3 linked regions of the Stegostoma tigrinum genome follow. The protein of the gene in region 1 interacts with the protein of each later gene in a biochemical or structural test. Links are inferred from orthologs where the notes say so. Each region holds a gene or a part of one and is shown in the gene's direction. Other genes may lie near its edges.

Region 1 (3,753 bases):
TCTGATTTGATTGATTTATTGTCAAGTGTAGCTAAGTACAGTGAAAAGCATTGTTTATGAGCAGTACAGGCAGATCATAGTAAGCAAGGACATACAGATTGTAGGGAGAAAAACAAAACTAGACAGATTCATACAAGTTGCATTGCACAGGGTGTGTGCTAGGGTCAAGATCAACATTAGCAAAGCAGCATTATTTGAAGTTAGAGAGTCCATTCATCAGTCTAATAATGGCAGGGAAGAAGCTGTTCTTGAACTTGCTGGTGTGTGTACAAGCTACTGTATCTTCTGCCTGAAGGAGGAGCTTATAAGAGACCTTGTGAACATGTCAAATTTCCTGACTGGCTGAGGAAGGAGAGGCTTTACTGTGCCTCCCTGACTGTTGCATTTATGTGGGATATCTAGGACAGGTTGTCGGTTATTGTCACTCCTAGAAACTTGACAGCCTCATCCTCTCAACCTCAGCTCTGCTGATGGAGATGGGGGCGTGTTCTTCATCCTTCTTTCTGAAATCAATGATCAGTTCTTTAGTTTTGCTGAAGTTGAGTGAGAGGTTGTTTTCAATGCACCAAATCACCAAGCCCTCTATCTCCTTTCTGTACTCTGACTTGTCCTCTGATCACCTGACTTCTTCCAATTCAGATTCCCAGACATTAAACACTCCACCACCAGTGGCTGCACTAGCAATTTAGTCCCAATTTCTGAAAATATTCCATAAAATTCTCTGCCTTCCCACCTCATTTCTCTTCTTCGAAATGCGCCTTGGAAGCGACTTCTGGCCAATGTTTTCGTTCAAAATAAGAAATTGAAGAAGAAACTCAGTAATAGATCAGATGTCGCTTTCTCTCCACAGATGCTGCCAGCCCTGGTGAGTTTCTTCAGCAATTTCTGCTTTGGTTTCAGATCTTGTGCATCCGCAGTGTTCTGTTGCACTTCTAAGTTTTGGTTCAAAAGCTCCTGGACGGGGCGCTTCGTCATATTTTACACTGTACAACAGGAAGAGGCGAGTTGTGTTCAAGGCGCCATATAAATTCAAGTTGTTGCTGTTGCGGGGCGGCGGGGGTGTGTGTGAGTGGGTGCGCGTGCGGGCCGTGGGCGGGGTTTCTGCCGCGCGTTCTGGCTCTGCCCCCTTTCTCCATGGTGACGGTTCGAACGACCGTTCCTCGCTCCACTCGCTCGGCCTTCTACTGTTGTGGCAGGCGCGAGCAATCGAGAGTGGGCTCCTTGACAACCGGAACCGGAGGCGGCGCCGCGGTCCACGGAGGAGGAGGAGGAGGAAGAAGAGGAAGAAAGAGACGAAACTCCGGGCACACGGTACAGGGCTGCGGGTCGGAGTCCCCAACCGCCATCTGCTCCCTTCTCTCCCGTCCTGCAGCGTCAACTATGGCCTCCTCGGCCGGGGCTCCGCCGGCAGCGGCAGCCGGCCCTTCCATGTTCCGCTGGCTGGAGGTGCTGGAGAAGGAGTTTGACAAGGCCTTCGTGGATGTGGACCTGCTCCTGGGGGAGATCGACCCCGACCAGTCCGAGATCACCTACGAGGGCCGCCAGAAGATGACGGCGCTCAGCTCCTGCTTCGCGCAGCTTTGTCACAAGGCGCAGACTGTCTTCCAGATCAACCATAAACTGGAGGTGAGCCCAGGGGTTGAATGTTTGCTGTGGGAATAGAGAACCCCGCCCACCCCGTCTCCCTTACTGAGGATCTGCAGATTAGTGTGAATATCTCAATAGCCCCCGTCCACCACATTGGATCAGCCCCATACTGTGAGTCAGTACACTAGTATCAATACTGTATCTCAATATAATCTTGTCCATTAGGTCAGCCTCTGAGGATCAATATAGTGATGTTACTATGGCAATTGAGACCCCCTTGCATTGTCCATCCATCTCCTTCGTGTCAGTTTCTATAGAGATCTCTCATTGCATCAGACCTTTGCTGCGGGCCCATAAGTCACTGTTAATATCTTAATAGAAATCCCTCATTAGATTATCCTTTTACTGAATATTGCACCACAGAGAAAAAATAAACTCCTGAATTAAGGGTCTAATGATGACCATGAAACCATTGGCAGTCATCAGAAAAATTCATCTGGTTCACTAAAGTCTTTTTGGCTGTAAATGCTGGCTTAGTCAAAGATGACTACATCCTGTCAGTGAATTTAAAATAAAAGACCTTCTCTCCAAATTGGATCACTCCACTCTCTGAGGGTCAATATGCTAATTAAATAGCTCACTAGAGATCACGTTGAATTCTGCTCTTGCTGAGGATCAATGCAGTAACTATTATTAGTATCTCAATAAAGAATTGGATTAGCCCGTATATGATAAACCTTTAATATACTGGGGATCAGTATATTACTGATCATATCTCAACAGAGATCCACCTCCATGGTATCAATCTTATACTGATGTCAAAACAGTAACATTAATATCTCAATAGAAATACCTGTTTAGATCAATCCCTTTCTGATACTGACTATATTAATATCAATGTATAGAACTGAATAGCAAAATTTCTTATAGTTGTCTAAAAAGGAAAATAACGTTTAACCAACTTATTACAAGTTTTCGAAAAAGTAGCGTAAGTGTTATTGTGGTAGTTTCCCTATCTGTGAGCCAGGAGGCCTGGGTCATGTCCTGTCTGCTGTAGGGGAGTTTCATAACATTTCTGAACAGATTGGTTCTAAAATCAAAAGAAAGAGTAATATGCACACTGGTTAAGGAGCAGACCATTGATTGACGATAATGTGGTGGCCAAGTGGTATAGTTACTGAACTAGGAATCCAGATAATGTTCTGGGTAACAAGATTCAAATCCCACCGTGGCAGCTAGTGAAATTTTAATGCAAAATAATCATCTAATGATCATAAGACCATTGTTGGTGTGCAAAAACCTAACATGTTAACAAACATCTTTTAGTTAAGAATATTGCCATAGTTCACCTGGTCTGGCATACATGTGATTGACTGTTAACTGCCATCTGATGGCCCCGCAAGCCGTTCTGTTGTACCAACTGCTAGAAGCTCTCAATAAAGGAATGAAACTGGAAAGATCACCGGGCATGAACCCAGACACTGGAAATGACAATGGGCAAATTCAGCTCTGCCAACCCTACAAAGTCCTTTTTGCTAACTTCTGGGGATTAGTGGGAAAATTGGCAAAGTTGTCTCTTGAATTAGTCAAGCAACAGCCTCTCAACGGCATTGTGGATCTGCTAATAGCACATGGGCTGCAGCAGTTCGAGAAGGCAGCTCACACCCATCTTCTCAAGAGCAACTAGGAATAGGCAATTCAGGCAACAACACCCATGTCCCAAATGGTAATATTTAGTTATTTTTAATTAACAAATTCCAAAGATTTAACTTGTCCAGCCATATAAATACAGTGGCTCCTGGGTGTAGGTCAGAGGCCTGAAATTCTGTGGTAATTTCCTCATCACCTGACTCCCACATTCTGTCCCGACATTTGCCGTGCACAAAGTGGGAGTATATTGAAATGCAGCCCACTTTCCTGGATGAGTGCAGCGCCAATAACACTCAAGATCTTCAGCAACATCCAGCTCAGTGAAAACTGCTTAATCAGCACTCTATCCACAATGTTAAATATTCACACCCTCCACCAGTCGTGGGCAGTGATAACAGTATGTACTAGCTACAAAATAAGCTAAAGCAACTTCTTCAGTACTTTACAAAACCTCAGCGTCTACAACCTAGAAAGTAGCAGTGCATGGAAACACCATCCTGACTTCAAATTATATTT
Region 2 (3,753 bases), on another chromosome or scaffold:
TTGCAGATGAGGGAAGCAAAGGGGAATTAAACACTTTTTTAAAAGAAAAACCTTTTTACAAACATATGTGGCAGATTATAAAGGAGCATTTTAGAGACTGGCACAGGTGAGAAAGCTTTACAATAATGTCTCAGCAAGGTGAGGAGCAGACACCAATATATTGTGTGCTGCATCCTGTATAATATTGACATATAATAAACTAACAGATTAATTGTTGCAGCATAATTACTCCGTACAACATTAGGAAGTCAAGTGCTAATAATCAACAAGACTGGCCCAAATCATACAGTTCATAACACAGCAACCTTAAAGTGTGTAATCAATCCTCACTTCAAATTGGCCATTCATCCTGTTTTTGTTTAGAAATGCTCGTCCTGTTTGCCTACCTAACAACCATATGCATTTAGATGGTGCCTTCAATGTAGCAAAATGTCCCATGGTGCTTAGCAATTGTATTATTAACCAATATATTTTTGATAACTGATAACCAAAGCCTTGGTCATTCTGATACCTTATACTCAAGGGGGTAGGCTTTAGGAAATTAGATTTAAAGGATCTTAAAGGACAAAAGGGAAAGTGAGGTGTTGAGACAGTTACAGAGGGATTTTCAGGGTTTAGGCTCAGTGCAAGTGAATGCAGAGGCTTTGGTTAAAGTCCAGGACAACCAAAAGGATAGAATTCTGTCAGCATGGACATCTTGGAAGATTGTGGGGCAGATAGAGATTCAGGATGAGTACGTGTGAAGCCGTGGAGGAACTTGAAAAGGAAGATAAGGTGTTTGAAAGCAAGGCACTGTCAATCCTCCATCTGCACATGACAGCAAGTCCTCAAGTGATGGATGACTGGAGCATTGAACAAGTTCAGAAAGGGCCAGCAAAGTTTTGGATGAGATTAAAACAGTTTGAGGCAGGTGATAGCTGACAGGCTGGCCAGAAGAGCAATGACATAATCATGTTCGGAGTTAACAAAGTCAGAAGGTGATTGTTTCAGCAACAGAGGCACTGAGGCTGGAGCAGAATTAGGTACTGCAGAGGTGGAAAGAGGTTTCATTACAGGATGGATATGTGATTGATAGGTGGTCTCAGGACCAAACGCAAGATGAAAATCTGGCTCAGCTCAAGTCAGTTGTTAGGGTTGGAGATGGTGAAGGAATGGCATTTGTTGGATGAAAGAAAGGCAGCGACTTTAGACTTCCCAGTAATTAGCTCATTGTCTCCCAGATACCAGATGTATTGTCGCTATCTTTGTTGTCCTATTCTTGAGAAGGTAGGAATGTCACCACACTTCACATTAGCTCACCTATGAAATGTGATGAATCACTTTATAAATACAAATAACACTTTTTGGTCTGGGTAGTACTGACTTTAACTGGGACGAAACAGTTTACTAATTAACATTGCAATCACAGCCTCCACGCCCTCCAATCCCAGCATATGGTGGCGGCAAGGATATGCTGTATAACTTTATCCAGGATTCCTCAACAGTACATTCCACACCCCTTTTTTCAGCACCTGCAAGGACAGACGGAGCAAAAGGTTGGGGACACTACAATTCCATAGTTCCTTTCCAGGTTACATAACATGGTTTGCTCAGATTTTAATCCATCGCTCCATGTGGAACTCCCCAGCTATTAACATTGTGAAAGCGCCTTCGCAACAGTTCAAGAAGAACTGACTTGCAGCATCCGCAGTTCTTTGGGTTTTCTTTAGTTCAAGACCACCCCCCCCCCCACCCCCAACGCATTCACAAGGGCAACTAGGGATGTGCAATCGATAATGGTCTTGCTCGCGCCCACACAGCAAACCCTATCGCTAGCCCTCCCGTTTGTGGCAGACCTGTTCCAGTCTACGCCTCTGTGTGGCCTGTACTCATTGCTGTGTCGCCAGAGGGAGCTATTGATCGTGCTGAGACACTGACCTGTTCCACTTTGCAAACGATCCCAGGACAAATTGGTGTTTCTCGTTCCACACAGCGGAGCCATACTAATGATATCAAATCATCCTGCCCGTCTTCAGGAATACGCGAGTTGGCTATACCCCGGGTTTTTATGTTGTTGGTGAACCTCGTTCATCATTTCCTTTATTTTTTGCATTTTATTTTACAGGAGGATAAAACCTCATTCTCTGTAACGTGGAATGTGACTTAGGAAAGTTTTCCAATCGTACTGCGCCTTTATTCTTTTAAAAATTAACTGATGGCGCAGTTTCTAAATGTTAATAGGCTTTTAAAATACAAAGCGCAACGGACACAGGAACATCAAACCTCGTTGCTATTTAGTGGCATTCCAGCGTTTTATAACACTCGCGTACAGTGAAGCTGCGTCCCATTTAAAATCGGGCGTGTAAAAGAGAAACATTAGGTTAATATAGAAGTCTACAACAATGACTATATTTTCATGACTATTTCATCGGCCTTACAGGTTCCGGGACATGTTACTTTCAAACTGAGACACCCCCTGTTAAACAATCGTCAGTCTATGGACTGCATTAGTATAGAAGTGAATCGTCCTAGGGAGGAGAGAAGCTGATTTACCCGTCTAGTTAACTATACAGGCACTCAGTACCGGCTGTCACTGACCCCCTCCAAATATCAACGTTACCTTTCGGCCTCTGTGTGCTTTGGAACAGAAGACATGGTTTTGCCCAGAATTGGGGAACGAGCCGAGAAGTGACTGGAAGTGTGAAGAGGAAGACCGGAGAGGGGGCGAGCAAGGAAGAGAACCCATCCCTGAAAGGAGGCGAGATGACCACGGAGCACTGCTCCTGAGTTTGTGACCAGCGGAACATGCGTCTGTAGTTCTGTTTCAGATGGAAAATTCGACGGTTTGGGAAGATCTCAGTCAATTAACATGCACTCTTGCTCACTTTTAATATTCACTCAGTCGGTGAAGACTCATGGGTTAAGTGCCACATTTGAATCTGTATAATGGCTGATGAATGGATCGGGTTACATCTGTTGGAGCTAAGAGGCTGTGTGTTCCACATGTAATGCTTGTGTTCTTTGGTGACTCATACGCACTACGATCTACTGATTCGACAGTTTGTTTGAGGAGGGGAGTACATGCAGATCTGAGACTCCCCTCCCAACACACACACACACAGAGAGAGAATCCAGTCTGCAACCAATGCCTCTCTCGCTCTCCTAATCACTGAATGCCTCAGACAGGAACTCAGATGTTCTGCAAAGTCGCTTAGAATTGAACAAGCTTAGAGCCAGCAGGGCTGCTTGTCTCCGATCAGGTGTCTATAACCAGCTCCTTCGATCTGCTTCACACGCTCCTGAACTGTCCTGGAGCATCTTCCTTGAACCACTTTAAAGGTCAAGAGCTTATTGAAAAGCCCTCGCTGCCCTGCGCTCTCCTGTCGGACCTTTTTAAATTCCAGATCTCCAACCCTCACGATTGGATGGCACATATGCTGGAAATAACCCACCAGGTAACGGAATAGAAAGGCGCGGAATGACGGAAATTGGGTACGAACGAGCCAACATTTCTGTACTAACCACATTATACGTGTAGACATTGGAGAGTTCTTCCAGTGTTTTAACGTCGAACAGAGTGGCCAGTGGATGTCTGTCCATTTCAGGTCGTGCTGCCAAGTTGGTAAATTCTGGTAGGACCATGAGAGAGAGAGAAAAAAATGTTGTTAAATAAAACTGGACTACTGGCGTTTTGTTTAATAACTTAAAAAAAGTGGGGAGTGTCTAAATAATGGAGGAGCTCGCATTTGTAACGCTGCGTGGAAAAATAAAAGG
Region 3 (3,753 bases), on another chromosome or scaffold:
CAGTGTATTAGGTCCTCCTTAGAGAGTTGGTGTGGATTCAGAATTGTACAGTCGGTAAACAGATCTTTCAATCCAACTTGTCCATGCCAATTAGATATCGTAAATATGTCTAGTCCAACTTGCCAGCATTTGTCCAATATCTGTCTAAACCCTTCAGACTCATGTACCCACCCAGGTGCCTTTTAAATGTTGTAATTGTACCCGTCTCTACCACCTCCTCTGGCAGCTCACTCCATACACACACCACCCTCTGTGATGTCCATGTCCTGTGAATGATTTAAAAATGGTAAAAAACAGATAAAATTAAGGTATTCGGGAAGGCATTGGCTGATTTAAATTGAAACAATGCGCACAATTATGGAGAAAAGTGGGAGAGCGACAATACATTAAAATAGCCAGAAAACCAACAGGGACAAGTTGGGCCGAATGGCATCTTTCTGCACCGTGACATTTATTTGAAGGACTTCAATTGTATGGAAACAAGGATTGTTTGATTTTAGACCGAGAGAGTTAACGGTAACCTAAAAGAGAAACTCAGGAATGTGATAACTTAGAGCGAGCTACTGCGGTTTGCTCTGATCAATGGCCCGCGCTCAAAAGGGATCCAATTTGATAAAGAAATCAGATGAAATGACAAAGTTTGCTTTTCACACGGAATAAACTCCGTGACTGGATGTGACATGAGTTACCAAAGTGAAAGTTGAAAAAGCTCCCCGGTGTCCCCGGACAACAGCCTCTTACCGCAGCCGGCTGTTAGCACCACAGTCCCAGTCCCACCCCCCGCCCCGGAATCGGGAGGGGTCGCTCGCTCTGAATTTCGCACAAGACCGAGCAAATTCTGATTGATCCAGTGCACCGGAGCGATTGGGCGAATGAGGGAGGAGGAGAGGGACAGAGAGGCATACAGAGTGACGGTCAGACACAGAGCCGGAGGGAAAGAGGGAGAGAGACGGAGAGGGGTGGTCAGGGCAGGAAGCTACAGAGTATGGTCAGTGATAGACGAAGGCGGGGGTGGGCAGAGGCGGAGAGAGATACAAAGAGGGTAAGAGAAGGGGGGCCGCAACGGAGAAAGATTGAGTGAGAATCAGAGCAGAGAGGGACAGAGTCGGGGAGAAGCGCAGTGAGGGTCAGTCAGAGAGGGACAGAGACTGTGTGAGAGTCAGAAACAGAGAGAGGGGTCAAAGACAGAGAGGGAGTAGTCAGAGATAGAGAGGAACAAAGACAGAGAGAGGGACAGAGACCGAGAGAAGGGGGGACAGAAACCGAGAGAAGGGGAGACAGAGACCGAGAGAAGGGGGGACAGAAACCGAGAGAAGGGGGGAACAGAGACCGAGAGAAGGGGGGACAGAAACCGAGAGAAGGGGGGACAGAAACCGAGAGAAGGGAAGACAGAGACCGAGAGAGGGGGGGACAGAGACCGAGAGAGGGGGGGACAGAGACCGAGAGAAGGGGGACAGAAACCGAGAGAGGGGGGACAGAAACCGAGAGGGGGCGGACAGAAACCGAGAGGCGGGGGGACAGAGACCGAGAGAAGGGGGACAGAGACCGAGAGAGGGTCAGAGATTTAGAGAGGTGGAGAGAGATTGAGAGAGGGAGTCAGAGACCGAGAGAGAGGGAGTCAGAGACCGAGGGAGAGGGGGACAGAGAGGCGGACAGAGACAGAGAGAGGGAGTCAGAGGCCGAGAGTGGGTACAGAGACTCAGAGAGAGGGACAGACATTGAGAGACGAGGAGAGAGACAGAGAGAGAGGAACAGAGATTGAGAGAGAGGGACAGAGACTGAGAGAGGGGGAGTCAGAGACTGAGAGAGAGGGACAGAGAGAGGGAGTCAGAGATTGAGAGAGAGGGACAGAGACAGAGAGCGTGAGTCAGAGATTGAGAGAGAGAGGGACAGAGATTGAGAGAGAGGGACAGAGACAGGGACAGGGACAGAGATTGAAAGGGAGGGACAGAGACAGAGAGAGGAAGTCAGAGACTGAGAGCGAGGGACAGAGACAGAGAGACGAAGTCAAAGGTTGAGAGAGAGGGGGACAGGGACAGAGAGGGGGGACAGAGATTGAGAAGGACAGAGAGAGAGAGGGGGGAGACAGAGCTTGAGAGAGAGGGACAGAGACAGAGAGAGGGAGTCAGAGAGAGAGGGGGGACAGAGACTGAGAGAGCGGGAGTCACAGACTGAGAGAGGGGGAGTCAGAGACAGAGAGTCAGAGATTGAGAGAGACGCACAGACAGTGTGTGCCAGAAATGGAGAGAGACTGAGTCAGAGGCTTTGAGAGAGTGACAGAGACAAAGGAAGAGGGACAGAGACGGAGAGACAGATCGCATTCAGATCAGAGAGAATCTGGACCATTTTCGGGGACACTTTAGTGACAGAGCCGCGTGGCGACGCCGAGAACAGTGGGAGTTCTCCTGCAATCCGGGAAGGCGATCTTTCTGCTTGTTTGAAGCGGTTCCTGCTGCCCTGGGAATGAAGGAGGAGGACGAAGAGAGCAGGACAAACTGATTATCTCTGACCAGGTCAGAGACTCCGTGCAGTAGCTGCTTTTGTGCAACTCCTGAAAGCTGAGGGTAAGACCGACTTTTCATTTATTGTTACAATTTGAAAAGCAATAGCTAGGAATCTGATACAGCGTTGAGGGAGACGTATGGAAGCTGGAATTTTCTGCAGCTGGGAGCGAGGTGCGGTGATGTTCTGGATATGGGAGCGGTGAACTTGCTGGGCAGGAGACAAAAACAGAAATTGTTTGAAAATCTCAGCAGGTCTGGCAGCATCTGTGGAGAGGAATCAGAGTTAATGTTTCGGGGCCACTGACCCTTCCTCAGAACGGGATCTGAGAATTAGTCCCTGTCCTCTCCCTGAGGCACTGTACTGTTTATTTCTTGTTCTAGTTCAAAACAGAAACGATTCTTTACGTTCTGATTACAAAACAAAAGCTGAAGTGCGTCCACAAACTGATCGAATCTAGAGAGATTGGAGATCGAGCCAACTGAGCGAATGTTGCTCGAGCGAAACAGAATAAACCAGTGATTTATGGAATATCACAGAGAATAATTATATATATCTCAACAGCAGCTCAGGATGGTCAGATATAGATACCTTTCAGTAATCATTATGTTTCATTTAATTTGCAGCAGTTGGTTTAACCCAGCAGAAGATGAGAGCGCGTTGGATGTAAATTTACCCTTGTATTTGTATTTGACAGAGTGTTTCACCCCGATTTGTTCGGAGATAGAGTTCCCCTGTTTGGAAGCTGTCAGTGCAGACACCATTTCTCCATTTGAACTGGAGCTTCTGCGTGCCGGCATTTCTGTTTGAGCTACCCTTCCAACTCTTGCTCAGCTGGAATTGAAGTAGCTTCTTCTTGTTTTTTTCTAGTCCTCGGCAATACGATCTTCCCTGCTATATTTATTCTCCAGCTCATCACTGTGTTGCATTTTACATAGAGTCCCCATAGAGTTGCCCAGTTGCTGACACATGGAAAATGCATCCAGTCTCTTTTCCAAGTCACTGTATCACAGCAATGTCTTTTACTTTCTCTGCTCCTTTCCTCATGTTTATAGCTTTCTTTCTGTGTTTTACACCCTCTACCTTTACAGCTCTCTTACATTTATGGTTATTTCCTTTCCTTTTTATAGATTTTTTAAAAAAAATTAGCATTTTTTGTTGTGTATTTTGTCTGAAGTCTGTCTCTTGTCTAGCCATCCAGTTATGCCTGTCTCCCCGATGTTGTTTAATTCTCTGCCTATACATCTTGTG

Evidence for each region.
Region 2: the proteins of gopc (region 1) and somatostatin receptor type 5-like form a complex in vitro, tested with the Homo sapiens proteins (2 studies listed by BioGRID and IntAct, with this or other methods). The link is inferred for Stegostoma tigrinum from reciprocal best matches to the Homo sapiens genes GOPC and SSTR5.
Region 3: the proteins of gopc (region 1) and corticotropin-releasing factor receptor 1-like form a complex in vitro, tested with the Homo sapiens proteins (2 studies listed by BioGRID and IntAct, with this or other methods). The link is inferred for Stegostoma tigrinum from reciprocal best matches to the Homo sapiens genes GOPC and CRHR1.

The regions. Positions count from the first base shown.
Region 1 is NC_081357.1:61,386,363-61,390,115, reverse strand, and holds the start of gopc (Golgi-associated PDZ and coiled-coil motif-containing protein), read left to right. Parts: upstream 1-1,132; 5' UTR 1,133-1,134; coding exon 1,135-1,626; intron 1,627-3,753.
Region 2 is NC_081376.1:15,254,662-15,258,414, reverse strand, and holds the start of somatostatin receptor type 5-like, read left to right. Parts: upstream 1-1,451; 5' UTR 1,452-1,535; intron 1,536-2,419; 5' UTR 2,420-3,404; coding exon 3,405-3,434; intron 3,435-3,753.
Region 3 is NC_081384.1:41,196,393-41,200,145, forward strand, and holds the start of corticotropin-releasing factor receptor 1-like, read left to right. Parts: upstream 1-1,549; 5' UTR 1,550-2,564; intron 2,565-3,753.